Linked DNA regions of Saccharomyces cerevisiae S288C. The protein of the gene in region 2 purifies or fractionates together with the protein of the main gene of each other region. This does not show direct contact. Each region holds a gene or a part of one and is shown on either strand. Other genes may lie near its edges. The genes, in order: NOG1, TIF6, YFR001W and SSF1.

Region 1 (9,349 bases), 220 kb from region 2:
TCAAGAAAGCTGCACCTGTAGAGAATATAAGGTTTCAGAATTTAGTCCATACAAATCAATTCGCACAAGGAGTCCTAGGTCAGAGTCAACATCTCTGTACAGTCTATGACAATCCTTCATGGCATTCTATAGTCCTGGAGACATTGGATCTGGATCTAATATATAAAAATGTTGATAAGGAATTTGCCAAAGATGGGCATGCAGAGGGGGAAAATATATACACGGATTATCTAGTAAAGGAGCTGCTTCGCTACTTCAAACAAGATTTTTTCAAATGGTGCAATAAACCAGATTGTAATCATTGTGGCCAGAACACTTCAGAAAATATGACACCTCTGGGCAGTCAAGGGCCCAATGGAGAGGAATCTAAATTCAATTGCGGAACTGTTGAGATCTATAAATGCAACCGATGCGGAAATATCACTAGATTTCCTCGTTATAACGATCCAATTAAGTTGCTGGAAACTAGAAAGGGAAGATGCGGTGAATGGTGCAATTTATTTACTTTGATTTTGAAGTCGTTTGGGTTAGATGTTCGCTACGTCTGGAATAGAGAAGATCATGTTTGGTGTGAATATTTTTCAAATTTTTTGAATAGGTGGGTTCATGTCGACTCCTGTGAGCAATCATTCGACCAACCATATATCTATTCAATTAACTGGAACAAGAAAATGAGTTACTGTATTGCGTTCGGTAAAGATGGCGTTGTTGACGTTAGTAAACGCTATATCCTCCAAAACGAGCTGCCCAGAGATCAAATCAAGGAAGAAGATTTAAAATTCCTTTGTCAATTTATAACGAAGAGGTTGAGGTATTCGTTAAATGATGACGAGATATACCAACTTGCATGTCGCGATGAGCAGGAACAGATAGAGCTGATTAGAGGAAAGACACAAGAAACGAAATCCGAAAGCGTCAGTGCCGCTTCGAAATCATCTAATCGTGGTAGAGAAAGTGGATCGGCGGATTGGAAAGCACAGCGTGGGGAGGATGGTAAATAGAGAAATAAAAGAACAGATTATTATGTGTAAGGAATTTTATCTAAGAACATATTTATAAAACTAACTCATCAAAGCTGCCCAAGAACTCGGCAGCTTGCTTTGTTAACCAGGAATTACTTTCATTGTCGAGATAAGCCAAATGTCCACCCAAGTCAGTCTCGCATAACAACACACAAGGATTTTCTCTAGCTTGTTTGTACGGAATTACGTTTTCACCTGTAACTGGATCATCCGTTGCGTTGATTATTAAAGTTGGGATTTTGATATTAGGCAATCTATTTATCGAACTGGCCTTTCTATAATATGTTAACCCGTCCGGCAGGCCCATCGATGGGGCAGTGAAAAGATTATCGAATTCTAATATGTCTGTAAATTTTTCAGCCTTTTCCAAATTTTCTCTGGTATACGTATAAAAGACTGGTTTCTCAACTGTCGGTTTGTGCGAAACCTCAAAATTCTCTGGTACCTGCAACTCATTCATATTAACCTTGACAGTCCTTGTTAGAAATTGTGTTAAAGTTCTAGAAAAAATATGGTTGGACCACCAATCATGAGCCAACTTGTCCCAAGTGTGTACGAAATCCCATGGGTTTGAGAGAGCGACTGCAGCATTTAATGGACAGTTATCTCCTTCTTCACCTAAGTAGTTCGTTAGCATGGCTGCTCCAAATGATGTTCCGACTGCATATATTTTTCTTTGCGGAAATAGAGCTTTTTGGTGGTTCAAAAATTCTCTCACATCACCTGTGTGTAATGCGGTAAAGATTCTACGGGTGGTGACTTTAGATCTTGAGCAACCTCTAGCATTAAGGACTACCACTTGGAATTTACCGTCACCGACTTTTGATAGATCTTCAGATAATGCCCTGATGAGAGGCTCATGGCTTCCCCCTGCAAGACCATGAAGTACTACCACTAAAGGGTAAGAATAACCCTTAGAATGACATTTTTCAAGTTCCTCAGAGGATAGATATCTAGTTCTCGGGTGAAGACGAGGCCAACCCTTTGGATGGGTGGCCTTTTCATCGTTCGAAAATTGTTTCTCGTTAAAACTAGCCTTTTCAGCATTTAATGAATATGTTTGCTCCCATTCAGGCATAACCCAATCTGCAGTGCAGACCCCTCCATCAGAAAATTTTATAATCTCTCTTCCATAAAATACCTGAAATTTTTTGGAAAAATCACCGGCTGACAAATAAAGGGTCTGTAAGTAACCTGTGAAAAGCAAGCTGTTTAACCTAAAATTTGCACCATCTTTGAGTGTAGGCACGTGTTTGGTTACGAATTCATGAAGAGGAATTTGGCGCTTAGAATCTCTGAAAGCCAAAGACTTGGTTCCTTTCTCTCCCAGTACATGTTTGACGGTGCCGTTATAGCCCCAATGGCTAGGAGTGACAGTTGGATAGTAACCCGAGCGAAACATTAAAATGACAAATATGAAAATACTTGATATCTTGATCTTTTTGCTAATCTTCAAAAATACCGAAAACTAAGTAGGCAACCAGATGCAGAACCCTTCTTATATAATCGATTCCTGTAAGCAAGTGTCAGCAAATAGCTTCTATATAGAGACCTTTCGGTGAAAGTATATTAAAGCCGGCCGGAAATTGAGTAATAATAACCGCTAATTATGCGGTGTGTGGATTCAGATTTTTGCCAGGAGCGATAACCTTCAAATCTAAAACTACTCACTATAAGCGATGAAGCAACCAGATGGTAGCGCTTTGGTGCCGGTTCTCTTGAAGGTTTGTACATGTGCGAGTTCATGAGGTTACAATATAGAAGGTTTATACAGTAGAGCTATACAGGATAATGGAAGTTCAGTTTTGTTCGGCTTTTTCATTGATGGCTTTCTTCTTATTGCTTTCTCTCTTGGCTTGTTTCTTCTTCATTCTTTTCAGTTTCTTTTTGTAACTATAAGTATCCTTCTCACCAAAACCGTAAAGTGGCTTAAAACTCTCTAGTACACCGCAATCTTCGAACAGGTTGGGAAAGATCCAGAACCCACCAACATCTTTGTAGACAATTAATGACAAAACATATAATATCAATCTCAGGATAGCGACAGCAAAGAAGCCTGCTAAGATGCCGAAGGCACCCAGAGACACATAATAGGAGCCGCGTCTCATGGAGCGCGGCCACAATGGGTAGCATACGAGCGCCAATATGATGGACACGACACCAATGACGATCAAGTAATCCATGTAGGTTCTAGGGTTATAGTTCCAAACAAAGTATTCATCGGCTTCCAATTGTGCTTTATTCGAAACAATCAAGTGCGGAAAGTCCTTGCTTGGCTTCAATCCATGCTCTTTGCATTCTTGACTATGCAATTTTTTCACTGGGATCACCATTTGTGCCTTTATAAGTTGAATAAAGATTTCACGTGACTTAAGCTGGTCTTCGATCTTGTTAGAAGGTATAGTTGGATATATCTCTGGCTGTCTTGCAGATTTGTTGGCATACTCCTCAGAATGCAGTGCCCTAACAAATCTCTTGTAACGGAAGAAGTCTGTCTGCTTGGCCTGGAATAAACCCTGCCTTTGCTTCAACTCCTTATGGTTGCGTAAAAGAGTAGCAATGGCTGTAGCAGATCCGCCATTGACACTAGCACCTGCATTGCTACCTGGACCTACGGCTGACATGTTCTCCTGTGTTTGCTCGGCTACCATACTGCATTCAACTGCAATTATAAAAGCCCACTCTTCTCCCTCTTGATTTGTATGCCAGTATTGGGAAAACGACACGTCTATTCCGTCGCACACGATCTTCACTTTCTTTTTTTTTTTCAACTGAACGAAAAGTTTTTTCCGCAGCTCATCGCAAAGAAAAATTTTCACCTATGTACTACCTCATCTAATACAATATAAAGAATACACTTCAGATTTAGGAGTTGCAGCGTTTATAAAAAAGTAAGTGTACCCTCCAAAAGCAAACACATCTCCCTCCTATACCGAAGATGCAACTTTCATGGAAGGATATCCCTACTGTCGCTCCAGCAAATGATTTGCTGGATATTGTCTTGAACAGAACCCAGAGAAAGACACCAACTGTGATCAGACCTGGTTTCAAGATTACAAGAATCAGAGCGTTCTATATGCGTAAAGTTAAATACACAGGTGAAGGTTTCGTGGAAAAATTTGAGGACATTTTAAAGGGTTTTCCTAACATCAATGACGTGCATCCTTTCCATAGAGATTTGATGGACACCCTATACGAAAAGAATCATTACAAGATATCTTTGGCAGCTATATCTCGTGCGAAGTCCCTTGTGGAACAAGTCGCCAGAGATTATGTCAGATTGCTAAAATTCGGTCAATCTTTATTTCAATGTAAACAATTGAAAAGGGCCGCTTTAGGTAGAATGGCAACTATAGTCAAGAAATTGAGGGACCCATTGGCCTATTTGGAACAAGTCAGACAGCACATTGGTAGATTACCATCGATCGACCCAAATACCAGAACCTTGCTGATCTGTGGTTATCCAAATGTCGGTAAGTCCTCGTTTTTGAGATGCATTACCAAATCAGACGTCGATGTTCAACCATATGCTTTCACAACCAAGAGTTTATACGTTGGTCATTTTGACTACAAATACTTGAGATTTCAAGCTATTGACACCCCTGGTATCCTAGATAGACCCACTGAAGAAATGAACAACATTGAAATGCAATCGATTTATGCCATTGCCCATTTACGTTCTTGTGTTTTGTACTTCATGGATCTTTCCGAACAATGTGGTTTCACCATCGAAGCTCAAGTTAAACTATTCCACTCCATCAAGCCTCTATTCGCCAACAAGTCTGTCATGGTTGTTATCAACAAAACCGACATTATCAGACCGGAGGATTTAGACGAAGAGCGTGCACAATTACTGGAATCTGTTAAGGAGGTTCCAGGTGTTGAAATCATGACTTCTTCATGCCAACTGGAAGAAAACGTTATGGAAGTTAGAAACAAAGCATGTGAAAAACTATTGGCTTCTAGAATTGAGAATAAGTTGAAATCTCAGTCTAGAATCAACAATGTTCTGAACAAGATTCATGTTGCTCAACCTCAAGCAAGAGATGATGTCAAGAGAACACCATTTATCCCAGAATCTGTCAAGAATTTGAAGAAATACGACCCTGAAGATCCAAACAGGAGAAAGTTGGCCAGAGACATCGAAGCTGAAAATGGTGGTGCTGGTGTCTTCAATGTTAACTTGAAGGACAAGTACCTATTAGAAGATGATGAGTGGAAGAATGACATCATGCCAGAAATCTTGGATGGTAAGAATGTTTATGATTTCTTGGACCCTGAAATCGCTGCTAAACTGCAGGCTCTTGAAGAAGAAGAAGAAAAATTGGAGAACGAAGGGTTCTACAATTCTGACGATGAGGAAGAAATCTACGACGGTTTCGAAGCATCCGAAGTAGATGATATCAAGGAGAAAGCTGCATGGATTAGAAATAGACAAAAGACGATGATTGCTGAAGCAAGAAATAGGAAGTCCTTGAAGAACAAAGCTATCATGCCACGTTCTAAACTAACTAAGTCCTTTGGTAAAATGGAAGAACACATGTCCACTTTGGGCCATGACATGTCAGCCTTACAAGATAAACAGAACCGTGCTGCTCGTAAGAACCGTTATGTTGAAAGAGGTTCTGATGTTGTTTTTGGCGACCAAGATGCTTTGACAGCTTCCACTGAAAACGGTGTCAAGTTGAGACAAACCGATAGACTGTTGGATGGTGTTGCTGATGGCTCCATGAGATCCAAGGCCGACAGGATGGCCAAGATGGAAAGAAGAGAAAGAAATAGACATGCCAAGCAAGGTGAATCTGATAGACACAATGCTGTTTCCTTATCAAAGCATTTATTCAGTGGTAAGCGTGGTGTCGGTAAGACAGATTTCCGTTGATTTCTCTACTTCTTATTCTTTCTTTTGCATGTACTTTAAAAAAAATATGAATATAAAATGTGGATGTACGTACACGACATTCTAATCTTTTTGGGCTGGTAGGATTACCATTTACATTTGATTATCTCTCTCACTATTAGTGGTTTCTTTTTCTTTCTTTCTCACTTTTTCTGTATCTTTTTTTTAAAAAAATTTTATTTAATCTGTATAATAATAATAAACCGATTTAAATTATCCAACAAGCCGACCCCTCCATGTTCTACTATTTTTTTGTATGTCACTGGATGTATACAAATAATTAAGCATGTGGAAAAAGAAGGGGTGGGATAGCGTCAAGATGACACTTCTACTTTTTTGTGACACATCATCATGCAACCTATCGAGTCTCCCACGAGGTTGACAAATAAGAAATTGTTATCGTTTTTGCAGTGTATCGTATAAGGCAACAATAGCGATGTCTCCCATCAATTGACTGATAAATTCCTGCAAACTATCATTTTTTTTTTTTCATCCTTGTGCCGCGTCTGTAGCCGAAAATCTGAGAGTGCATGAATCTTAAAAAACAGAAGACTCATCGCCGTCTTTGGCACATTGGGGTTGTCTTTGACTTCTTTTGCTTATTTTTGCTCACTTTGCTTATTTTACCTATTTAACTAGAGGTTCTAAAAGAATAGCCAACCAGCGTGTAGTTCTTATTTCTAATCCTTGTCTTGTTAAGTTGAAACTTGTGATATTGGCTGAACAAATTCTCCGCATTTAGACAACACACAAATTACAGCTTTCCCCTAGTAACGATTGTTGATTGAGCTCAGACAATACGCGCAATTTAAAAACGTTTTATAGTGTAAGAGAAGACAAGTACAAGAAAAAAATGGTTGCCAATTGGGTACTTGCTCTTACGAGGCAGTTTGACCCCTTCATGTTTATGATGGTCATGGGTGTCGGCATTTCATCGAATATTCTATATAGCTTCCCATATCCTGCAAGGTGGCTAAGAATATGCTCCTACATCATGTTTGCTATCGCTTGCCTTATTTTCATTGCTGTGCAGGCACTACAAATATTACATTTGATTGTCTATATTAAGGAGAAAAGCTTCAGAGAATATTTTAATGACTTTTTCAGAAATATGAAGCACAATTTATTTTGGGGTACTTATCCCATGGGGTTAGTTACAATTATAAATTTCTTAGGAGCACTCTCGAAAGCGAACACGACGAAGAGCCCCACTAATGCCAGAAATTTGATGATATTTGTTTACGTCTTGTGGTGGTATGATCTCGCAGTCTGTCTAGTAATAGCGTGGGGTATCTCGTTTCTCATCTGGCATGACTATTACCCTTTGGAAGGGATTGGGAATTATCCTTCATATAATATCAAAATGGCATCCGAAAACATGAAAAGTGTATTGCTACTGGATATCATTCCGCTGGTTGTCGTCGCTTCAAGTTGTGGAACATTCACAATGTCAGAAATATTCTTCCATGCGTTTAATAGAAACATTCAACTGATAACGTTGGTCATATGTGCCTTAACGTGGCTGCATGCCATTATCTTCGTCTTCATACTGATTGCGATATACTTCTGGAGTCTTTATATTAATAAGATACCACCAATGACACAGGTTTTCACCTTATTCCTGCTTTTGGGCCCGATGGGCCAAGGAAGTTTTGGAGTCTTATTGCTTACAGATAATATAAAAAAATATGCGGGCAAATATTACCCAACAGATAACATTACAAGAGAACAAGAGATATTGACTATTGCAGTTCCATGGTGTTTCAAAATTCTAGGCATGGTTTCTGCTATGGCATTGCTCGCTATGGGCTATTTTTTCACCGTGATTTCTGTCGTTTCAATCCTGTCGTACTACAATAAAAAAGAGATTGAAAACGAGACAGGAAAAGTGAAGAGAGTTTATACCTTCCACAAAGGTTTTTGGGGGATGACTTTCCCGATGGGTACTATGTCTTTAGGAAACGAAGAGTTATATGTGCAGTATAACCAGTACGTTCCCTTATATGCATTTAGAGTCCTAGGAACCATATACGGCGGTGTTTGCGTTTGTTGGTCAATTCTATGCCTTTTATGCACATTGCATGAGTATTCTAAAAAGATGCTGCATGCTGCCCGTAAATCTTCATTATTTTCAGAGTCAGGTACGGAAAAGACGACAGTTTCTCCGTATAACAGCATTGAAAGCGTGGAAGAATCAAACTCGGCTCTAGATTTTACGCGTTTAGCATAAAATTGTTGGTTTTATACGTACATAATTGGCAAGCATTTCATGTAGGAGTCTCAATAGATAGTTTAATTCATTTGCACGGCGCTTTGCTGCTTTTGCTTCTTCACGTTGGTTTTCACTATGCCTGATATTTTTTGACGTCACTTAGTAAGCACGACCCTTGTCAATTTTTCGAGGATTTCGGAGCTTTCCATTTGGAATCTACTATTAAAATCAGTCTAAAAAAGTATAAGAAACACTTCTGGTTTTTCTCATGCGCTTCTCACTCTCAGTATATTTTGCTGCTTTCCTTCATATGTATATATATCTATTTACATATTAGTTTACAGAACTTTATGCTTTCTGCAACCAAACAAACATTTAGAAGTCTACAGATAAGAACTATGTCCACGAACACCAAGCATTACGATTACCTCGTCATCGGGGGTGGCTCAGGGGGTGTTGCTTCCGCAAGAAGAGCTGCATCTTATGGTGCGAAGACATTACTAGTTGAAGCTAAGGCTCTTGGTGGTACCTGTGTTAACGTGGGTTGTGTTCCGAAGAAAGTCATGTGGTATGCTTCTGACCTCGCTACTAGAGTATCCCATGCAAATGAATATGGATTATATCAGAATCTTCCATTAGATAAAGAGCATTTGACTTTTAATTGGCCAGAATTTAAGCAGAAAAGGGATGCTTATGTCCATAGGTTGAACGGTATATACCAGAAGAATTTAGAAAAAGAAAAAGTGGATGTTGTATTTGGATGGGCTAGATTCAATAAGGACGGTAATGTTGAAGTTCAGAAAAGGGATAATACTACTGAAGTTTACTCCGCTAACCATATTTTAGTTGCGACCGGTGGAAAGGCTATTTTCCCCGAAAACATTCCAGGTTTCGAATTAGGTACTGATTCTGATGGGTTCTTTAGATTGGAAGAACAACCTAAGAAAGTTGTTGTTGTTGGCGCTGGTTATATTGGTATTGAGCTAGCAGGTGTGTTCCATGGGCTGGGATCCGAAACGCACTTGGTAATTAGAGGTGAAACTGTCTTGAGAAAATTTGATGAATGCATCCAGAACACTATTACTGACCATTACGTAAAGGAAGGCATCAACGTTCATAAACTATCCAAAATTGTTAAGGTGGAGAAAAATGTAGAAACTGACAAACTGAAAATACATATGAATGACTCAAAGTCCATCGATGACGTTGACGAAT
Region 2 (8,093 bases):
CAGAGATCTTGCCCACGCCTTTTTTTCAAAAAGAGCCCTTCGCAAGGTTGCTCAACGGGATTGTCATAGAAAGAAAAAATCAAAGCCAATAACTACAAGGCCAAAAGTAATGGTAGGGAGCTACTACAAAGTGGGCTCAGCCTACCTGAAGAAAATAAACAATTAATGGACAAGATCTGTTAGCGGACATACAAGAGATCAAATTACCTTCTGGTTAATGCTGTAGGCGAAGCAAACCATTCAATTGAGGAAACCTTATTCCCAATTGCGCTTTTGCTCCCTGGAAGCCTATAACAGCGTGTGGGCAAATAAAGTTGTTTTTCGCCCTCAGCGACTTTACTTCGGAAACTGAAGAGCGGCTAGAAATTTCGCAGAAAAGATTTTCCTTTGAGGATAGAAAAATGAAAAAAAGAAATTTATCTTTTTTCACAACAGGTGCTGCTTTTTCCTCACGTATGCACAGAATGCAAAGTACAAGATTTGTAATACGCGACTCCGCGCAGCTGTACTCTACTCCCAAGTCAGCGGAAAAAATGCAAGACATACAGAAAGTTGCCGCTTTATTGGCTATTTTTTTGGGCGACAGCCCTGGCTAGCCTCCTCATTGGGTTGTAGAGGAAACAAAACTGAGATGTCTTTGGACTAATGTCAGCAATAATAACTCGTAAAATCAAGTCAGAATTTCTATCCATTCAATAGGTATTCATTGTTTATGAAACTAAGAAACGAATGTAAATAATTCTGGGATATAACAAATAGTTCCCTTTGGATTACTTAAAACATAGTACTGCAGCTAAAATTTGTAAAAATGTTAACGTTTCTTTGCGTTGAGTAACTTGACCTTCACACGTAGTTGCAAGTACCGATGCAAAATTTTTACACTGGTGACAACCTTAATGGTATAATCCAATTAGCGACATCACCGAGAAAGTATCCAAGTCGATTTGATGAATAAAATAATAACTTAAACATTCAACGCCGTTTGTTAATACTGACACCTGAAGGAGAGTCAAAAAGGCAAACTTTCTTGCAACAATCATAAAGCTAAGGCACCGCTAGAGCTTACGATATTGGCCGCAAAAATAACTATTACACTTTTTCGTTTCTGTGGAAATGTAGGGTGATCAACTGGCTAATTGCTGCCTTTTAAGATATGCGGAGGAGATTGTGCAGCCATTTTCATTTTAGCGACTCATTGATGGAAGTATTCAAGTCAAGATCACTTGTTTAAATTCAAGACTACTGTTTAAATTCATAATTTTTTATTGCTATCTTTTTTTTACCACAGATCTGACCGACACTCCCGCTTATCGCCCATTGCGGCATATACTTAGGCAAGTCAAAAGCCGAGGACAGCAGTTGAAGACAGGCTACAATTTCTATAGTAGCTTTTTTTCGTTCCTAATTTCTCCAAACACTTTAAGTTTCTTGAAACGTAAATGATACTGCGAAAAATTTGATTTCGTTCTGAAGATACTATCAATTAAACGTGCACTAGGTGCTGTTCCCTCGATGAGCTGCCGCGCTAACCCGTACCCCCCAATTTTGAGCGATTTTAGTGAGTTGTGTTATATAATCCAGGGGTACTCTGCTCCGCGATTTGTGTGATAGCAGCCATAAATGCCCCACGCCAAAGTTCCACGTTCAAATAAAACTTACATCAAAAATTCTTTCTCTTTGAAGTAAATATGCGTGGGGATTGCTGAATAAGCAGCCCAGTGAACATCAGCGCTTTCTGTAAATCATTTATCAGCTAACAATAATTACATAATATAAACCTCCAATAACTGTCCTGCTAGTGGCACGTTGTTGGCTGTCAGAAACGAAATGTGGGTCCTATTTACCCCTTGGTTTTAGTATGGGAGCACGAATGGTAAACACCTTCTCATAAAATAACTGATAACGTCTTAAAGCGACCAAATACTTTATTGTTGCGGGCAAACATTATTGTTAAATGCGTGGTCTAGAAGTAAAATTTTCTGCATAGTTCACTGTTATGTAAATTTTGAACTTGAAATCTTTTCTTAGAAAGAGTCTGTCATCCTTGGAAACATTGCTGACCAAGAATACGATATTGTGAGAAGACATTGTACCCAAAAAAAATTTTTCATTCCTATAGTTTGGATTGGAGATGATTCAAACACAGCATATTCATGTGTTACCTTCCCGGTTATGCACGAGGTCAATGAGACCGTTCCCTTGTGTTGTACCAGTGGTAGGGTTCTTCTCGGTAGCTTCTCCGCAATAAGAATGATTGAATCATATTGTAACATTAGATTTTGGCCTTTCACTAATTACCGTAGGTAATTTTGTTGGTTAAACTGACAAAGAATAAGAGTTTAACCAACAAAATTAAGTCTTGGTGCATTGAATGGAAGAAAAGATGATACAACGCCAACCTAAAGAGTGGAAAGCGTTCTTTCAAATGAGGGTAGTAGGAAATTCAGCGGGAAAGTTTGAAAATGTGGTGGTAAAACAATAATCCTGGTTTTTCTTTGTTATCCGATAGGAAATTTATCCCCTTCTATGTTCCACTAATCACTTCATGGGTTGACTATCACTAGCGCATGAACTCCTTTTGACCAATAATAAGCACAATACTAAAGGTTGTGGTAATTGATAAATAAAGACTTCCATTGAAATGACAGAAACGATATGTATGAATCAGAATATCAAGCATGGATATATCATTGCGCTCAAACTTAGTCAAATTCCTTTGTTTTCTTAGTTTGTTATGACTCCCTTGACGTAATTATTCTTGCATTAATTTTGAGCTTCTGTAAACTTCATTGTTCCAATGGATCATTATATATTAACAACGTTGGCATATACGTGACCGCAATTTGAACTACCTACATTTAACATACTTTTGTAGAGGAAAGAGGCTGTTTGTTCTTTAACCATGATTATACCAATTTAACCTTTTTTTTTTTTTTGATAGTGAACTGCATACTAGTCAGGTAATTGAATTCCTGGTACAGAGATTCATCAAGACATCCGTGTCGGCAACGTTGTACTAAATGAAAAGGTCCTTTGTCTTACGAACTAGACAGAATAAAATGTATCGTGCGGCAGTATAGAACCGTATTACAAATGCTGATGCATTCGCAAACAAATTTCTTGTAGAAATTATAATTCGAACAAAAATCCTCTCACTATTCAAAAATCGGAAGTCAGTAAAAATTGATTGTTGGCTACATGTAATATATTATATGGAACTAATACATATCTATACTCATTTTACTTGGTAAAAAGTGTCACACCTACATCAAAATCACACTGAAAACAAAATATTCTAAACAATGCTTTCACTGATGTTTTTTCTTTGCTATTTTCTTTTGATGGGTTCTTAAATGCCTTAACATGTTACTCTTGACATTGAAAGATTTGTTGCAATGCTCCCAAGTACATTTGAAAGGTGTGTCTCCCGTATGTATTAAGTAATGAGTCCTCAGTGTTGAAGGTCTCGAACAAACCTTCCCACAGATAGGACATTGTTTCCGTAGCTTTACCACAGCGCGCAGTTGCTTTTGTATAAGATCTAAGTCGGTTTGTGTTTGGGATAATAGCGTCCCAGGATTTTGCCCTATATGCACATTCGGGAGGGAGTACTGCTCGTTGCTCACCGCTCTGTGGTTTTCCTCCTGAAAATGCTGCATTGATGGAGGTACAGATTGGGCAGTATAAGAGGAAGCTGCCGTTGAATAAATAGGGCAACAAGATTGACGTTCAACGAACGTTAAAGGGAAAGGTTGCGGTGTTGCTATAACCGGCGAAAAGATAATAGAGTTGGGACTTGATCTCCATACGGGATCCTCTGTCTGATGCAGAGAAGAAGGTGCGTAATGGTAAGCGGGAGGTGGTAGTGCGGCCTGGTTTATTTCAGGAGTAAGTGGAGCGTGCATAATCGACGAACAAGGTGGAAGATGCACTTCCCTTTTGGTCGTGTTCGAGACTTCCTTTGAAGATTGCGCATAGGATCCCCCTATGTTAGACGATGAACATTTCATTGGGCTACAAAGCATAGATTCTAGCGTTTTTGTTCTCCACATTTAATTAGTGTTGAAGATGAAAATTTATGTATATTAAAAGTTAGAAACGGGTCAATGAAGACGTTTGCTTATCGTATTGGATCCTTGCAATGCCCTCCAAAAAGAAGAAAAAAGTTGGACCAAGAAAACAATTATAATTTTGTAATTTGAAATATCTACCAATGAGGTCAAAAGAGCGACAACAACTAGCGCTTATATAATATAAAGAATTCTTGGGACTGTATCTCATGGCAACCAAATGCCGTTCATATTTAGGGTTTCAGTGGGAAAAGATTTCCGGTGCTTTACGCTCCTTGTACAAACAAGTGCTGCGAAACTTTCTGTGGAAATCGTGCCTTTTAAACCATTAGTGAAGGCTCCAGATAGAGTTGTCACAGAAAACAGCGTGGCGGACTTATTTTTTTGCAACGATTTTCTGGAAACAATAGAGGAAGAATTTTTGGCGTACGAAAAGGAACGATGCCCCCAACACCTCAACAATACTACGGAAGTTTCTTCGAGCGGAAAAACATCGAAATACTAGCTGTTTCTGGATATGAGAGTGGGTATGCGTGGCAATGGAACTCAGGGAGTTGTTGCTATTTCAGTGAGTACGATGGATCAGGGTGTTTATATCTCAAGAACTACCAAGTTGAAGAGATGAAACGTAGTTCGCTTGATAGCACATAAATGGACGGCTGACTTGTTGTACACCATATATATATATATATATATATAATTTTACGGCTCACTTCTGTACCGCTTGTGAAAATCTTACCGCACAACCCCCGGTGTTCTATTAGCTTTGTTCGATTTTATTAATCTTTGCCAAGAGATACTACTCTCCGGGTTCTGGTGGAGACAATAGTATGTCCTAGCAGCTAGACAAAAAAGCCTTCAAATGGTCTACGTGCGGTGCAATTTTTCTTGGAGAAGTTCTATATTGTCTAACAGATACTTGGAACTGAGCAAGTTGTCAGAATAGTCGGAGAAGCGGACGGAAAATCCATATTATGCAAAGAATTTGCTTAGAAACCCGTTACATATGCTTCGAACAAAGTGACTACATGTTACAATTAAGACGCCTACTTAAACTGCAATGAATAGTCACCCATAGGTATAAGAAAAAAAAAAAAAATAAAAGAGTACATAATATACATACAACTAAAATTAAAATGCATAGAAACCTAAGAAAAAATATTTGTTATACCAAAAAAAATACCACAAATGATACGTAAGAAGATTATTGCAACATGGGGACTCTTTCGCATACAACTGTAAACAGACTTGAGGAAGGAGGGGAATCCCCTCAGGAGTACCTGACATCTATGAGTAGGTTTCAATCAAAGTATCACGTAGGTTACCTGAAATGGATTCTGGTTGGGCATCTTGCAAGCGGAAAATACTTTCAATAACACTCAATTCTGGGGCTGTAGTATCCAGACCTGTAACTGCCAAGTAATCGTTCACAACCATACCGGCACCGACAACTGAACTACCACGGTTAACGGTACCAGCCACCAAAGGAACTTGTAATAAGGAGGACAATTCTTCTTGATCTTGGACACTTGTTTGTGGATGCACTAACCCACCTTGATTACTTAAAGAACAATATGACCCAACTAAGATATTACCTGATATGGTTTGACGGAAGACCTCAACGCCTAGTACATCACTTATCAATTCTTCAGTTTCTCTGTCGATATCTGGATGCACTAAAGCAACGTAATCATTACAACAGATGACGTTACCCAAGGCAGATAGTCTTTCCTCTACCCTTTGAATCTTAACGGAATCCGGCAAACTATTTCTTAAATGTTGTAATTCTTGATCAGTAGTTTGGGTTGGAACTAGCAGACCTCTACGGTTACCCGCGGTCATTCTACCGATGATACGCGTACCAGCAATAGTGGTATGAACGATGGGAATAGCATCTCCTAATTCAGCTTCAAATGCAGAGTAAAAGTTTTCAGAACCACCAACAGCAACCAAACAGTAAGTATTCGTTAATTTGGAGAATACACCGATTTCATTGGAGTTTTCAAATTGAGTCCTGGTAGCCATTATTGTTTTCTAGAGTTAGTTGAATTATGCTCTTGTTCCAAATACTCTGTCGTATTGCTTCTTGTAATTATACTATAAGACCAACGAGGGATGAGGCTTCTTTTAATTATGCAATATTGAATATTGCGTTACATACAGTAAAAGAAAAAATCTGCACAAAGGAATATGGGTTTAAATCTTTAATTAATAAAAATTTTCCGAAAATTTTCGTTTGGCCCTCGGAAAAAACGGGTAATGCTCATCCATTAGGATTTCGTCCAGAATGCCTATATTATTACATAAAGTGATGCTAGTAATGTAAACCAGAACTACTTCTATAGCTTGTTATAGGTGGCCCATGCCAGTGAAATAGGTGGTTGGTTACTCTTTTTTTTTTCTGGTGGCGGCAACCTATTTTTGTTCTAGTGCCTACCAAACTAATTCCTTCCCATAATTTGAAGGCTTCGCAAGCTTAGTAGATGCAAAACTCTTTCTTCATTCTTTGTCTGATCTTGCACCTTACATATTATTCCAATAGGACCTTTATCACAATCAGCGCATATCAAATATTTCAAGCACTTTTTAATCTTCCAGCTGGAATTACCATACTCAAAGACAAAATCACTCTTATCACTCAAATCCCCTAATATAGAAGAAGGAATTTCTCTAGATACACCAACATTATCAAAGTCCCAAACATCAGGGACGACCAAGAAGTTGCTCTCGCTGGGGGTAGCATCTCGCATAGTTCTGTTTTCCAGCAACTTGAATTCGCTGTGCACCTGCTCTGGTAAGTTTATTATGTTATCATCGTTGATGGTAATAACTGCACTATGACAGCCCTCAAAGGAACACGTAGCCTTGCTCATGTTCTCTGTTATTCCCCCATTTTTCCAGCCCTTTTAATTGAACTTTCTACTCATACCAGTCAAGTTTTTGATATGTACTTCATTAATTAAAATGATCGATATATAATCGTTCAGTACGACAATGACGATATTCACAGTACTACTAAACTAGCGGGTCCCCGGCGCCCAGTCAGCCTTTACGAAGAGAAAGGAAGAATGATATGGATATGCTGAAAAGTATTTTGATACAGAAGAAGGGAGTTTTGAGTTGTCGGGCTCATCGTGCTGGATCAAGTGGTTCCCTACCTGGCGCGATCTATAGTGTCAGACGGCTTGCATATATGCTCACGCGTTCGGACGCGTGAAAGGCTTCAACTGAAAAAAAGAAAGATCTACATCGTTAAACCAAAAGGTTTGCGAACTGACTAAAAAATAAAATTCTTATTGGTTCCACTTCTTGAAATACATCATTTTTCCAGCCAATTCGTTGAGGAGAAGAACATTCTGTTATTGCTGTTACAGAGAATTATATGTTTTAGTGAACCTCAAGACAGAAGAGAATCGAAAGGAAAAGGGAAAATGGAGCAACATCTCAAATCAATTCCTCTACAGGACGACACTAAGAAAAAAGGCATACTATCTTTTTTCCAGAATACAACTACGGTAAAGAGTAATAAGTTTCTCACGAAAGAGAAGGATGTCATCACTCTAGATGATCCTAAAGAGGATGTCAGTGGACCTATGATAGAAACTGTTAAACAAGAAACCATGAAAAGCATCAATAAAGAGTGTGCAGATGAAATGAAAACGACACCTAAGAAGGCCAATGCTGAAGACAAGCTTTTATGCTACAAAAATTCACCCATACAAAGTACAAAATACGATAGAAACACCAACAAACAAGTACCCAATGGAAATATAATAGCTATCGAGACAAAAAGCAGAAGCTCTTCTCCATGCTCTAAGAGAGAACTTTCCTCATCGAAAAAGGAAGAAGCTAAAAGAGAAAAGGAACTAAAAAAGCAGCAACGTGCAGAAGAGAAACACAGAAAAGAGTTATTACGACAAGAAGAGAAAAAGAAAAAAGAGCTAAAGGTAGAAGAGGAAAGACAAAGGCGTGCTGAGCTGAAAAAGCAAAAGGAAGAGGAAAAGCGTAGAAAGGAAGAAGCCA
Region 3 (7,831 bases), on a different chromosome or scaffold from region 2:
ATGGTTTGAAACAAAGTGGTGCAAACTGGTATGAAACCATTAAATCATATTTAATAAATTGTTGCGACATGCAAGAAGTTCGCGGATGGTCATGCGTATTTAAGAATAGTCAAGTAACAATTTGCTTATTCGTTGATGATATGATATTATTCAGCAAAGACTTAAATGCAAATAAGAAAATCATAACAACACTCAAGAAACAATACGATACAAAGATAATAAATCTGGGTGAAAGTGATAACGAAATTCAGTACGACATACTTGGATTAGAGATCAAATATCAAAGAAGCAAGTACATGAAATTAGGTATGGAAAAATCCTTGACAGAAAAATTACCCAAACTAAACGTACCTTTGAACCCAAAAGGAAAGAAACTTAGAGCTCCAGGTCAACCAGGTCATTATATAGACCAGGATGAACTAGAAATAGATGAAGATGAATACAAAGAGAAAGTACATGAAATGCAAAAGTTGATTGGTCTAGCTTCATATGTTGGATATAAATTTAGATTTGACTTACTATACTACATCAACACACTTGCTCAACATATACTATTCCCCTCTAGGCAAGTTTTAGACATGACATATGAGTTAATACAATTCATGTGGGACACTAGAGATAAACAATTAATATGGCACAAAAACAAACCTACCAAGCCAGATAATAAACTAGTCGCAATAAGCGATGCTTCATATGGTAACCAACCATATTACAAGTCACAAATTGGTAACATTTTCCTACTCAACGGAAAAGTGATTGGAGGAAAGTCGACAAAGGCTTCGTTAACATGCACTTCAACTACAGAAGCAGAAATACACGCAGTCAGTGAAGCTATTCCGCTATTGAATAACCTCAGTCACCTTGTGCAAGAACTTAACAAGAAACCAATTATTAAAGGCTTACTTACTGATAGTAGATCAACGATCAGTATAATTAAGTCTACAAATGAAGAGAAATTTAGAAACAGATTTTTTGGCACAAAGGCAATGAGACTTAGAGATGAAGTATCAGGTAATAATTTATACGTATACTACATCGAGACCAAGAAGAACATTGCTGATGTGATGACAAAACCTCTTCCGATAAAAACATTTAAACTATTAACTAACAAATGGATTCATTAGATCTATTACATTATGGGTGGTATGTTGGAATAAAAATCAACTATCATCTACTAACTAGTATTTACGTTACTAGTATATTATCATATACGGTGTTAGAAGATGACGCAAATGATGAGAAATAGTCATCTAAATTAGTGGAAGCTGAAACGCAAGGATTGATAATGTAATAGGATCAATGAATATTAACATATAAAATGATGATAATAATATTTATAGAATTGTGTAGAATTGCAGATTCCCTTTTATGGATTCCTAAATCCTCGAGGAGAACTTCTAGTATATCTACATACCTAATATTATTGCCTTATCAAAAATGGAATCCCAACAATTACATCAAAATCCACATTCTCTACAGTATACATATTATTATAGCCTTAATCAACAATGGAATCCCAACAATTATCTCAAAATTCACCAATATCTCAGAGACTATATCTGAAACAAACAAAGACGTATAGTCCAAAGCAATATTCAAGGAAACTACAAAGTGAGATTAGCTACGTAGAAATAGGAGAAAAAGTATAAATTTAAAGTTAAATTCAGATCTCAAATTCTCTTAATATTTGAAATAAATCCGCTGCGTGACAAATCCCGTGATGATCTCGGAATATTTATATGTTACCATTTATACTTATGGTAGAATTATACTCACTAATGAATGTACGGTTACTATTTGGAACAAGTGGTCATCAATTGCCATAGTAACATTTTGAATGCTTGCATCGTGCATGAATACATACCGCATATATGTTTAAGTATGAATATACCTGTTAAAGAAAGTAATGAATCTGTATTGAAGAACCGTAGGTTTGACATGATCTGGTCGTTATATATACGCGTAATATGACTAGTCAAACTAAATGTATGACAAGTTCCAGAACTACTATTACATTGATCATAAGTAATAATACACAAATCAGCGTGTGTTTTATACTTCTCTTATATAGTATAAGAAGATCCATATTTAATCTTCATTAACACTACTTCTTAACCTCTAATTACCAACGGGTCAATGTTAGGATAATTGTTGGCATTCCATTGTTATTAAAGGGAATCAAAGTATATTAAAAATTCTTCCCAAGGATGTAATAACCTAAAAAAGGAAGCCCATATTTCTATATAATGTTATTAATATTTTCTTTTTCATATTATTGTCGCCACTCTTTATTCCATTACATTATCAAGTCTTGCATTTCGGCTTCCATTAAATTTGATGATTATTTCTCAGTCTTTGTGCCATCTACTCACACTCAATTTTAATATAGTGTTAATATGAATACTAATCAATGAGCGATCATTGGTTCCATTACAATAACGTTGTGATCGGAACTTATTTTGAAGTTATTCCTGTCGACTGCCTGATGTCAGTATTGAGGCTGTTTGATTATTTCTGAACATAATATCCTTTTCCTGTTACAAGTACATGCTGAACAAGAGATATATATTATGCTTTAAGATGGAGTATAATGGTTTTAGAATATTTTAAATTAAGTATGCATACACAAATAATCTACTTACTCACTATGATGCTACAAGATCATCCATTGGTTAAGAATGTTGAGTGATTCTACGAACAAGGTAACTTTTTTTCCATAATTATAAGTCGTCAAAATTGCCTTGGATAGCTTTGCTGGAAACTTTCTTCCGTTTATTCTGTAAAACGATTTCTTTCCAATCCTCTTTAATACGCTCTTCTTCAGCATTTTCATCGAGCTCTTCTGCTTTCAATTCTTCCTCTATAGCCTTCCTTTTTAAACTCATCTTTTCCTTTCTCTCGAGTTTCCGTTCTTTCGTCAATGTTTTATCTGACCACGCTAAATTCTTCTTCTTCAACTCACTTTTCAGCTTCTTTTTATCATTAATCAGGCTTATATTTTTTAATGTTTCTTGTCTCTCCTTTTCACGTTTTTTGTCCTTGTATTTATATTCATCCATATTAACTGGGGGATCGACCAACCAATTCCCTGGGAAAATCCCTTCTTGTTTTTCGGTGGCTAAGTACTTTGTTATCTCAGGCATTCTAGGCAGGCGGAAAAGACCATACAATTTCGCAATACCAACATAATCTAAAGATTGAAGCCTAAAAATTGAAGTTGCGGAATGATTTGAGTAGTATTTAATAAAGGCAACATATGCTTTAACACCTTTATCAAATCTATCCCTATCTTCTAGTATCCAATTTCTAAAGTCCTCGTAAAAGTTTGTTGTTATGCCCTTTACTTCCAAATCAAGTTCTTCAAGTTCCACATTTTTAACTTGCATGAAAGGAATAAAATCCTCTTCTCTGCCTTCATTAAGAAACGTAATTGCTTTACCCACTCTATTTGCTCTACCAGTTCTACCACATCTATGCATGAACATATCAGTATTGGTAGGGGGATCAAGCTGGATGACGAGATCAACGTCGGGTATGTCAATACCTCTAGCAGCCACATCTGTTGTGAATAAAACAGAATTACTTAGCGAATCAGTAAAAGCTGTTAGAGTTTTTGTCCTTGCCGATGTTTGAAGTTTTCCATGCAAGGAAAATATTTCTACTTCATTCACGAGAATATTCCTCTTTCCCAAATACTGGATAAATGAGTAGAAGTAGGAGACTGACACACATGTTGGAAAATATACAATACATTTCTTGAATTTGTAGTTATTCAAAATGCTAACCAAAAGTTGTAGTTTTTCGGCAGGATTTACGACACAGTAATTTAATTTCAAAGAGGAGGGCGCCTGGTTCTTAGAGTTAACGGTAATCCTGACAGGATTTCTAAGCCCTGTCTTAAAGATATCTGATCCGGCGCTACGCATAGTTGCAGAAAATAGACCCGTCCTTCTTTGTTTAGGCAATAGCCTCAGAATTTTTTCGGTATCCTTAATAAAACTCATATCCAACAATCTGTCTGCTTCATCCATAACTACCATACTGCATGCTGACGTCTTTACTGCTGGCATTTGTAAAAAGTCCAAAACTCTACCAGGTGTTCCAATCAGAATCTGCGGTCTATTCCGCAGAAAATTACTTACATCATCTCTAACTGTGGCTTCATTAGTACCAACCAGGAGCTGACATTTAATAGGGAACAAGTCGGAAGGATAATGTTCCAGAAATGATAGAACGACAGACTCAATTTGGCGTGACAATTCTCTTGTTGGAGCAATAATTAACGAGTGGAAGTGTGCTTTCTTGAATTTTGATGTATTCGCTTCTTCCTTTACAACTTTTTCTAGTACAGGTATAACAAACGCAGCGGTCTTACCTGAGCCTGTTACAGAATCAACTACTACATCCTTGTTGCCAGCAAGCATGGGAATTGTCGATGCTTGGACTGGAGTCATGGTCTCAAAACCCATAACATCGAGTCCTGTCCTTATCCAGGGAAGTAAAGAAAACCCGAGATTATCCCATTCCAATGACTTTGACATTGTTTTTATTGCTGCTGAGCTTTTAATATTATCTTACTACACCTCAAATCAATGGGCTCAGCTCATCTTGAAAAGCTCACTTTGTTTTTCAGTGAAAAATTTTTGAAAGCGAAAAGCCGGCTCAAAATAAAGAATAATATAGTATTCTCGAGGTGCCCACATGCAATCTTTACTGCCCTACTATAACCTCCCTTGAATGAGTAATTTCATTAGAAGGCTAGTTGGGAAAATGAAAGCGATTTCAACAGGTACCAATGCTATTGTTAGTAAGAAGGACTCCATTTACGCAAACTGGTCCAAAGAGCAGCTAATACGAAGGATCACTGAACTAGAAAACGCAAATAAGCCACATTCTGAAAAATTCCAGCACATCGAGGATAACAAAAAGCGCAAAATTTCGCAAGAAGAGGTTACGAGAAGCAAGGCGAAAAAGGCTCCGAAGAAGTTTGACTTTTCTAAACATAATACCAGGTTCATCGCCTTGAGATTTGCCTATTTGGGATGGAATTACAATGGCTTAGCTGTTCAGAAGGAATACACACCGTTGCCTACAGTAGAGGGTACCATTTTGGAGGCCATGAATAAGTGTAAACTTGTTCCCTCGATGGTTTTACAAGACTATAAATTTAGCAGATGTGGCAGAACAGACAAGGGAGTTAGCGCCATGAACCAAGTTATATCGTTAGAAGTCCGTTCCAATTTAACAGATGAGGAACAGCGGGATCCGACCAACGACAGCAGGGAAATACCCTATGTTCACGTTTTAAATCAATTACTACCCGACGATATTCGTATATCAGCTGTCTGCCTCAGACCGCCACCTAACTTTGACGCAAGATTCAGCTGTGTTCACCGGCACTATAAGTACATCTTTAATGGAAAAAACCTTAATATTGAAAAAATGTCTAAAGCCGCATCATATTTTGTTGGAGAGAGAGACTTCAGGAATTTTTGTAAGCTTGATGGCTCAAAACAAATTACCAATTTTAAACGAACAATAATAAGCTCAAAAATTCTTCCCCTTTCTGAAACTTTCTATTGTTTTGATCTCGTTGGTTCAGCATTCCTATGGCACCAAGTTCGTTGCATGATGGCCATTCTTTTCTTAGTTGGTCAATCACTTGAAGTGCCGGAAATTGTCTTGCGTCTGACTGATATTGAGAAAACCCCTCAAAGGCCTGTTTACGAAATGGCAAATGATATACCATTATTGTTATATGATTGTAAATTTCCTGAAATGGATTGGCAAGAACCTACTGTAGATGACTATAAGGCAATAAAATTCACGACAGCTACTGAAGCATTGACGTTACACTACGAACTTAAGGCCGCAGTATGCAATATTTTTAAAGATGTTTTGCCCACAGCAAATACAAACAACTTCTCAAAGACAATTATTAATTTGGGCGATGGAAGAGGTAAAGTAGTCGGTACCTATGTGAAACTAGAGGATAGAAGCGTTATGGAACCTGTCGAAGTTGTTAATGCTAAATACTCCAAGAAAAAGAACAACAAAAATAAGTAAAATAATATATAAACCTGTATAATATAACCTTGAAGACTATATTTCTTTTCATCACGTGCTATAAAAATAATTATAATTTAAATTTTTTAATATAAATATATAAATTAAAAATAGAAAGTAAAAAAAGAAATTAAAGAAAAAATAGTTTTTGTTTTCCGAAGATGTAAAATAGGTTGAAAGTTAGAAATTAGTATTATAATAGCAAAAAAAATTTAAAGTTAGAAATTAGAATTTAAGGCTCTACACACGTTTACGATGATATTGGACGACCGACACGAAAAGACAGTTTTAGGCTTTCTTTTGTCTTGCTCTTGCGTTGAAAGTACGTAATTTCCATTCGATTACTTACTCAACACTTGATATAGAGACCAACTATAAAATAAACTGTTTGGGAAGGAAAGCAGAACTCTTGTAATTACCTCATCTCATTATCAAGAAGCAAAATTTTAACTATGTATTTTGACCTTATTTTTGTACTCCACTTTTTTTTTTTAGTTTTTTTTAGTTATTTTTTAATTTTGAAGTAACGGCGATGAGGTGAAGTTTTTTTTAAACTGAAAAAGAAGATCGAATGCAAACCATAAATTAGAGATCTAATTGAGGTAAAATTATAAGGTTAGATATCTGTAAATCTATACAATTAAGGAAAGATGGCACCAAAGAAACCTTCTAAGAGACAAAATCTGAGAAGAGAAGTCGCACCAGAGGTGTTTCAAGATTCACAAGCTAGGAATCAACTAGCGAATGTTCCTCATCTTACCGAAAAATCTGCCCAGCGTAAGCCTTCTAAAACCAAGGTTAAAAAAGAACAGTCTTTGGCTAGACTTTATGGTGCGAAGAAGGACAAGAAGGGGAAATATTCTGAGAAAGACTTGAATATTCCAACACTCAATAGAGCTATCGTTCCGGGTGTTAAAATAAGGAGGGGAAAGAAAGGTAAGAAATTCATTGCTGATAACGACACTCTGACTTTAAACCGTTTAATAACAACTATTGGTGACAAGTACGACGATATAGCTGAGAGTAAGCTTGAAAAGGCTAGAAGATTAGAAGAGATACGAGAATTGAAAAGAAAGGAAATTGAAAGAAAGGAAGCGCTTAAACAAGATAAACTAGAAGAAAAAAAAGACGAGATTAAAAAGAAGTCTTCTGTCGCAAGGACTATACGTAGAAAGAATAAACGTGATATGTTGAAAAGTGAAGCAAAAGCTAGTGAAAGTAAAACTGAAGGAAGGAAGGTAAAAAAAGTCTCATTTGCTCAATAGTTTGATTGACTAAACTAAATACGGATAAGTCTGTTGTATAATATATAACATCCTGAAGGCAAAGTCTTTGTAAAGATTGTGCTTTATAGAACGGTCAATATCGTCATGGCTGATGCTACTCTGTTCATCACTTCTCTTCTTTATCGAAGACCGGGTAATAATAAATATCCGAATTTTTTTCAAATTTTGAAAACTCACTCACGTCTTCCTAGAAGATTTCAAATGCATTAATTCATCAAAATTCAAAACTTAACAACACTTGTGAAGAAAAGTCACAAAGAAGTAAACGATATGCTGGAGACGTTGCGCGGAAATAAGCTGCATTCTGGCACCTCAAAAGGCGCCAACAAAAAGTTGAATGAACTCTTGGAATCGTCCGACAATCTACCATCAGCATCCTCTGAATTAGGTTCAATTCAAGTAAGCATTAATGAATTGAGAAGACGTGTTTTTCAATTGAGAAGCAAGAACAAAGCTAGCAAGGACTATACTAAAGCCCA
Region 4 (7,220 bases), on a different chromosome or scaffold from region 2:
GCCTTCCAAAATTCATCTAACCTGTCCTATAACAACACAGGGATATCAGATGATGAAAATGATGAAGAAGATATCTACATGCACGATGTTAACTCAGCTTCTAAAAGTGAGTCTGATTCTCAAATTGTGACGCCAGGTGAGCTGGTCACTGATGACCCTATCTGGATGAGAGGTCACGGTACGTATTTTCTTGATAATATGACGTATTCCTCTGTTGCTGGTACTGTATCCCGTGTCAATAGGCTGCTATCGGTAATTCCATTGAAAGGTCGTTATGCCCCAGAAACTGGTGATCACGTCGTAGGGAGAATTGCTGAAGTGGGTAACAAGAGATGGAAAGTAGACATTGGCGGTAAGCAACATGCAGTACTTATGTTGGGCTCTGTGAATTTACCGGGTGGTATTCTAAGAAGAAAATCTGAAAGTGATGAACTACAAATGAGAAGCTTCCTTAAGGAAGGTGACCTCCTGAATGCAGAAGTTCAATCATTATTTCAAGATGGTAGTGCCTCTTTACATACAAGGTCTCTAAAGTACGGGAAGTTAAGAAACGGGATGTTTTGCCAAGTCCCGAGTTCATTAATAGTGAGAGCCAAGAACCATACTCATAATTTGCCCGGCAACATAACCGTAGTTCTCGGAGTCAATGGTTACATATGGTTAAGGAAAACATCTCAGATGGACTTAGCGAGGGATACGCCGTCTGCAAATAACAGTTCCTCAATTAAATCAACTGGACCCACTGGTGCGGTATCATTAAATCCCTCCATAACAAGACTGGAAGAAGAGTCTTCATGGCAAATATATTCGGATGAAAACGATCCTTCCATATCGAACAACATACGACAAGCAATTTGCCGGTATGCGAACGTGATCAAAGCGTTAGCGTTCTGTGAAATAGGCATTACTCAACAACGTATAGTAAGTGCTTACGAAGCTAGTATGGTTTATTCAAACGTAGGTGAACTGATTGAGAAAAATGTAATGGAATCCATAGGCAGTGACATTCTTACCGCCGAAAAAATGAGAGGTAACGGCAACTAATAGGAATACAAAAGCCGCTGTTTACACATTTATAAACTACACAGCAGACTCCAACGCAATTTATGTGTATAAACTTACATAATGTCATGGCTATGTACACACGATTAGTACGTATAGAAATGCAATTGACTCATCTTTATTGCAGACATTACATCATATTTTGTTGATATTATAGTAATATGTTCATTTTTTTATTTATCTCTATATTAAAACAAAACTTTTGCACTAAAAAAAGAAATAGTACAGATTCATTTTTTTTTTTTTCATCTCAAAATTCTCTCATCAATTCTTAACTTTTTTGATTGGTTTACCACTGGCAAAGGTAGCAGCAACAATCAATGGAAGAACAGTGGTGACATCAGCAAAAAGTTTGACGGATTTGGCTTCAGCCTTGATCTTACCCCAAGACACAGCTTCGTCAGGTCTTGCACCTGCATCAGAACCATCGTATTCTTGACCAGTGTTAATGTAAACGGCATAATCAGCACCATTTCTCATCAAACAAGCATTGGCAATGTGGTGCTTGATCAAACCACCACCCAAGATGATCATACCGGCTCTGTAAGCGGCCATGGACATTGAATTGATTTTGCGGATATCTCCTACAATGTCAACTCTTAGTTGTTTTGGAGATGCTTTAAAAGTATGGAAAAACAACATGTCACCGATTGAACCATCAGTCAAAGATGGACAAAAGATTGGAATTTTATTCTTGTGGGCCCAGTACAATACGGAGGATTCGTCGTTGATTTCCTTACCAAAACGATCTATCATCTTAGATGGGGTCCAGATTGGTGAATCCACGTCTTGGTTAGCCTCTAAACAGTCAGCGCCATGTTTCTTTACGTATTCATCTTGTTCTTCCAACATCTTATCCAAAATTGGGACAATCCATTCTTCAAACTTACAGTAGTTATCATTTGGAACAAGCAAGTTACCAATACGATTCATACCTTGGTCACGCAAAGATTTACCTTTCAAAGCAAATTCACCCAAGTAAGTTGGAGCAAGACATTTGATCAAATCTTCTTCCACACCACCAGCAGAAGTAACGACAGCATCAACCATTTTGTGTTGCACCAAATAACGTAAAGTTTCACGTACACCGGAACTGATCAAGTTAGAAGTATAACCCATGAAGATAGTAGTCTTTTGGTACCCTTCCTCATCGAAGCAACCTTTCTTTTCATGGTCATCCAATTCGTCAATATGCTTACCTCTCCATGATCTCATACTATCAATAATCTCACAGGCAGTACCAACAGAACTAGCTTGGAAACCCATGGTCTTCATAGCTTCAATTAAATCAGTTGCTCTCATATTAGTGGCTTCAGGCTTTGAGTAATCAATACCTTGAACCTTAACGAAGTCATCTGGAATAGGAACAGATGCTTTCAAGACAGCGTCTTGTAGTAACTCTGGGAGTTTTTCGTTGATATCGGACATCTTTTTTGCTTTGACTTGTATATAAGTTAACTAAGCAAAACACGACTTTACTCTGCAGTTAGATACAAAACTGATAGAGGGAAGTACTTTGCGTCAAAATGGAAATATACATTACATTTAATTTTTCACTTTACTTTTTATTTTTTTTTCCCACCTTTTTTTCAGTTCTTCCCGTAATGCGTTTACCGTCAACCTGGTGATGGCGAGATATTATGGTAATCTCGTTCGTGACCTTCCACTGTTCAGCAGCTACTAGTATTATTTCAAGAGACAAGAAACACACAGGTAGTGATTATCTGCAGAGAGACAATTACTGGTAGTCAACAGAAAACATCAGCTTTCATGTAGACTAAGTTGGCTTTCTGGAGGTCCCTAATTTGAAATGTGTACATTCCGCTCGAAGAGCTTAAAGACTGACATATGCTCAAAGTAGTGTTTGGATATATATAATTCAAATTGCGGTATCGCAACTGTCTGATTGGTTGTTCGAGAAAAGGTTGGATGCATTTCTGTAGTAATTGGACCGAGAAGGGTCCTTGCATGATAATATCGTCGTAGCCTTCAACATAGCGACTGTACTCTTTGTCCCAATGAATTCGGTGCGGATTCAAAGACATCTGACCATAAGCTACAATATCCATATCAGTAACAGTAAAATTTTTTAAGATCTTATAGTTCTCCTCTCCTACGGGCATCTTGACTGCAGTCTTGTTTGCGGGTGAATTGGTGTACATTAATACCCTTCTCTCGAATAAGCAAATGTCCATTGGACTCGACACATTTTCGGGCCTTTCTTGTAAAAGGGTTCTTTCAATACAGACAACATGTTCATCTCGTATTTTTTTTACGTATTTGATTGATTCGTGGCATGTATACTCCTGGTCTAAGGTGACTGGTAAATACTGAACAAGCTCTCCTTGTCCCCAAATCCTTCTACGGTAGCGTAAATCAGGGTTTCCTAGCAAACTTGCAGGATTTTGATAGTTAAAATAACCATCTCTATCCAATTTTTCGAATGATGGTGGGAAGAACAGGAAATGTTCTCCCAGTTGAAGATGCTTCGTTGCCTTTGATACAGGGAGTCTCCTACAAAGTAAACTATCAAACGCTTTGGTTCGGTGACTAGATAAGACATCCCTGAAAATCCACGTTTTGGATTTCATGCTGATAAGCTGTCTTTAGATAAGTGGACGATTGCCCACCTTCAATGTACCAGCCACGCTCATGTATCGAAACAGTAGCTTAAAATGGCGTAAAAAAGGTAAGATCGAATTTTTTTTCACATGCCTTCTGAGATCTACGTTTCCTTTGGGCTATGATTTAAAAGACAAAGAGTTTATATGTATCAAGTATGCAATTTATCTAAAGTGAAGAAGTATACGTGCGTTGGTGGATAGCCAGGCTTAACTAAAATTTTCTTGGTACCGGAGAACAATTTATTCGACCTCACTAAATAAGTCACTATCTAGATCCTCTGGTACGCTACCATAATGTTCGCTGTCACTTGATGAAGACTCATCATCGCTCATCGCATCATCTTTTCCTTGACCTTCACCTCCTTCTGCTGCTCTAGCTTTTCTTCTTTCCAATTTACGTTGCTTTTTAGCGTCTTTAACAGCCTTCTTTTTAGCAATGTTTTCTTCTTGTTCCTTCTTTCTTTGTTCCTTCAGCCTCATTTTTGCAGCGTGTCTCTTTTCTAAAGCTTTGATTTCTTCGCTTGATTTTTGAACAAATTCATGATGTAACACTTTACCTGAACAAATACCTTCTTCTATCTTGACCAGTTTTAAAGTTAATCTTGGTCCTAATTCAGTTAGTTTGATAGCTTTCTTACGTGGGGTTGGTTGCAAGTTTTCTGAAGGCTTAGGTTCCTCCATTTCCACATCTTCTTCTTCTGTTTCTTTTTCACGCTCTTTATTATCCTTCTTTTCGACCGGTGTTCTTTGGGACTTCAAACTTTGAGAATGCTTTGCCTTCACGTCCTGATTATCAACTACTCTCACGATAGCGTCATCTTCAATTTCAGATTCTGATGTATAGGCGCCTAAGTCGTGATCTAATATCAAAGAAGAAATATCTTCTTTTCGATGCAAATTCGGCACTGTTTTACTTAGATTATTTTTGGCTTTATAAAGCCTTTTTAGGTTTCTAGAGATCTCTACTTCTCGAATGTCAATAAAATAGTGGCGCATAGAAATTTCCCCTGTTTCCCTGTCTTTATTGATCATAAATACACGTTTGATAGAATTCAAAGAAGTTCTCGCAGGATTCAGAGGTGGGAAAATATTCTGAAACATAGAAACAATGACCTTCTCCACGTTTACATCCTGGTCGTCTTCACCAGATCTTTTGGATGTGGAAAACCCGTTTAGCACTAGCAATGGAGGATTTAATACATCATCATTATTCAACGATTTAGGTCTCTTCAAAAATTTTTTGATATCTCTACCCAGAGAATAGTCCAATACTTGAAAAGTAACAGTAGGACCTTGCGGAGTTCTAGCTATCTTTAGGGAGACATTTCCTGTTTTTTCAGATTGAGTGAACATAAAAAGATGCGTAACACCTAATGGGCCACACATAACAACGAAATCCTTCAGTTTATTGGACTTGCGCTCTTTCAATTTTATAGCCGTATGTGGTTGCATGATTTGGCGGAAGTCCTTTACTAATTGGTTCAGAGAATGGTTGGCCAAAGAAGTTTGACCCACTCTGATTACCATTGACTTAGGTATACCTTGTTCCTGCTCAGGTGTAAGCTGTGCATGTGTTCTTTTCTTTTGTCTTCTCTTGGCCATCTTGAAATTTTATTGTCTGCTATATCTGGATTATACTCTTTTATTATTAAACATACTACTCACTCAAACCCAGATATCGAACTAATATCGCGATGAGATGAGCTTCTTCGTCTACTTTTTTTTTTTTTTTTTTTTCAGTGAAAAATTTCAATTTCGTCTAAGGCGATAAAAATGAAAAATTTAAAATTAATCAATGAGCATTTAGCAATTGTACATGGTATACACAGAATTGTGACATATCTTAGAAGCAATATATACCAAGATTCTGTTAAGTACTTCACTGAATCAGCTATAAAAATGTCCAAAATTGTTAAGAGAAAGGAAAAGAAGGCTAACGATGAATTAACTTCTTTAGCAGAAAAGATTAGAGCAAAAGCTTTGGAAAATCAAAAGAAGCTTATAGAAGCAGAAAAGGAAGGTGGTTCAGAGTCCGATTCTGAAGAAGATGCTACTGCTGAAAAGAAAAAGGTTTTGAAATCAAAAAGCAAATCCACAGTATCAACCCAAAATGAAAATACTAATGAAGATGAATCTTTTGAATCCTTTAGCGAACTGAATCTGGTCCCCGAATTAATTCAAGCTTGTAAGAACTTAAATTATTCCAAACCCACTCCCATTCAATCTAAGGCAATTCCTCCCGCGTTAGAAGGTCACGATATAATTGGACTTGCGCAAACAGGTTCTGGTAAAACTGCTGCATTTGCTATTCCCATTTTGAATCGGTTATGGCATGATCAGGAACCATACTATGCGTGCATTCTAGCTCCAACAAGAGAATTAGCACAACAGATCAAAGAAACATTTGACTCATTAGGATCCTTAATGGGCGTGAGATCGACATGTATTGTGGGTGGTATGAATATGATGGACCAGGCCAGAGACCTGATGAGAAAGCCACATATTATCATTGCTACACCTGGTAGATTAATGGACCATTTAGAGAATACCAAAGGGTTTTCACTGAGGAAACTGAAATTCTTGGTTATGGATGAAGCTGATAGATTATTAGACATGGAATTTGGACCTGTTCTTGATAGAATTTTAAAGATCATCCCAACCCAAGAAAGAACCACTTATCTTTTTTCCGCTACTATGACTTCCAAAATTGATAAATTACAAAGAGCAAGTTTGACAAATCCTGTGAAATGTGCCGTGTCAAACAAATACCAAACCGTAGATACATTAGTGCAAACACTGATGGTCGTTCCAGGTGGTCTTAAGAACACATACCTAATTTATTTATTAAATGAATTTATTGGAAAGACGATGATCATTTTTACAAGAACCAAGGCCAACGCGGAAAGGTTGTCAGGATTATGTAATTTGCTCGAGTTTAGTGCCACTGCGCTACATGGTGATTTGAATCAAAACCAGAGAATGGGATCTTTGGATCTTTTCAAGGCAGGTAAGAGGTCTATTCTCGTGGCTACAGATGTCGCTGCGAGAGGGTTGGATATTCCATCAGTGGACATAGTTGTAAACTACGATATTCCTGTGGATTCCAAGTCCTACATTCATCGTGTGGGAAGAACCGCAAGAGCTGGTAGATCAGGAAAATCTATCTCACTAGTATCACAATACGATCTGGAATTGATCTTAAGAATTGAAGAAGTTTTAGGTAAAAAACTACCGAAGGAAAGTGTGGACAAGAACATTATATTGACCCTAAGAGATTCCGTCGATAAGGCTAATGGGGAAGTTGTAATGGAAATGAACAGAAGAAACAAGGAGAAGATTGCCAGAGGTAAGGGAAGAAGAGGAAGAATGATGACAAGAGAGAATATGGACATGGGAGAAAGGTAGGCTTTGTAAGCATGGTTTACCTTTTAACGCCCAAAAGTTCAATTTAACTTAGAAATATTTATCTATATGTTCATATATACATCTATCAATATCACATAAAATTGCCTATCATTTCTTATTCGTTTCCTA

The links.
Region 1: the proteins of TIF6 (region 2) and NOG1 purify together in Saccharomyces cerevisiae (affinity purification with mass spectrometry; 7 studies listed by BioGRID, with this or other methods). This does not show direct contact.
Region 3: the proteins of TIF6 (region 2) and YFR001W purify together in Saccharomyces cerevisiae (affinity purification with mass spectrometry; 6 studies listed by BioGRID, with this or other methods). This does not show direct contact.
Region 4: the proteins of TIF6 (region 2) and SSF1 purify together in Saccharomyces cerevisiae (affinity purification with western blotting; 10 studies listed by BioGRID, with this or other methods). This does not show direct contact.

Annotation. Positions count from the first base shown.
Region 1 is NC_001148.4:367,018-376,366, forward strand, and holds NOG1 (putative GTPase NOG1), read left to right. Parts: upstream 1-3,960; coding exon 3,961-5,904; downstream 5,905-9,349. Other genes in the region: PNG1 (peptide-N4-(N-acetyl-beta-glucosaminyl)asparagine amidase), read left to right, coding at 1-1,001; EEB1 (medium-chain fatty acid ethyl ester synthase/esterase), read right to left, coding at 1,054-2,424; Sec63 complex subunit SEC62, read right to left, coding at 2,822-3,646; SSU1 (Ssu1p), read left to right, coding at 6,776-8,152; glutathione-disulfide reductase GLR1, read left to right, coding at 8,485-9,349. UniProt on the Saccharomyces cerevisiae protein: Involved in the biogenesis of the 60S ribosomal subunit.
Region 2 is NC_001148.4:586,975-595,067, forward strand, and holds TIF6 (translation initiation factor 6), read right to left. Parts: upstream 6,096-8,093; coding exon 5,358-6,095; downstream 1-5,357. Other genes in the region: YPR014C (uncharacterized protein), read right to left, coding at 215-544; YPR015C (uncharacterized protein), read right to left, coding at 3,309-4,052; guanine nucleotide exchange factor DSS4, read right to left, coding at 6,512-6,943; RLF2 (Rlf2p), read left to right, coding at 7,502-8,093. UniProt on the Saccharomyces cerevisiae protein: Binds to the 60S ribosomal subunit and prevents its association with the 40S ribosomal subunit to form the 80S initiation complex in the cytoplasm. Is also involved in ribosome biogenesis.
Region 3 is NC_001138.5:142,394-150,224, forward strand, and holds YFR001W (Loc1p), read left to right. Parts: upstream 1-6,716; coding exon 6,717-7,331; downstream 7,332-7,831. Other genes in the region: ATP-dependent RNA helicase SPB4, read right to left, coding at 2,721-4,541; pseudouridine synthase DEG1, read left to right, coding at 4,738-6,066; linker nucleoporin NIC96, read left to right, coding at 7,623-7,831. UniProt on the Saccharomyces cerevisiae protein: Required for efficient assembly and nuclear export of the 60S ribosomal subunit. Involved in asymmetric localization of ASH1 mRNA.
Region 4 is NC_001140.6:227,403-234,622, reverse strand, and holds SSF1 (rRNA-binding ribosome biosynthesis protein), read right to left. Parts: upstream 5,289-7,220; coding exon 3,927-5,288; downstream 1-3,926. Other genes in the region: exosome non-catalytic core subunit RRP4, read left to right, coding at 1-1,044; DYS1 (deoxyhypusine synthase), read right to left, coding at 1,327-2,490; hydroxyacyl-thioester dehydratase HTD2, read right to left, coding at 2,811-3,653; RNA-dependent ATPase RRP3, read left to right, coding at 5,586-7,091. UniProt on the Saccharomyces cerevisiae protein: Required for biogenesis of the 60S ribosomal subunit.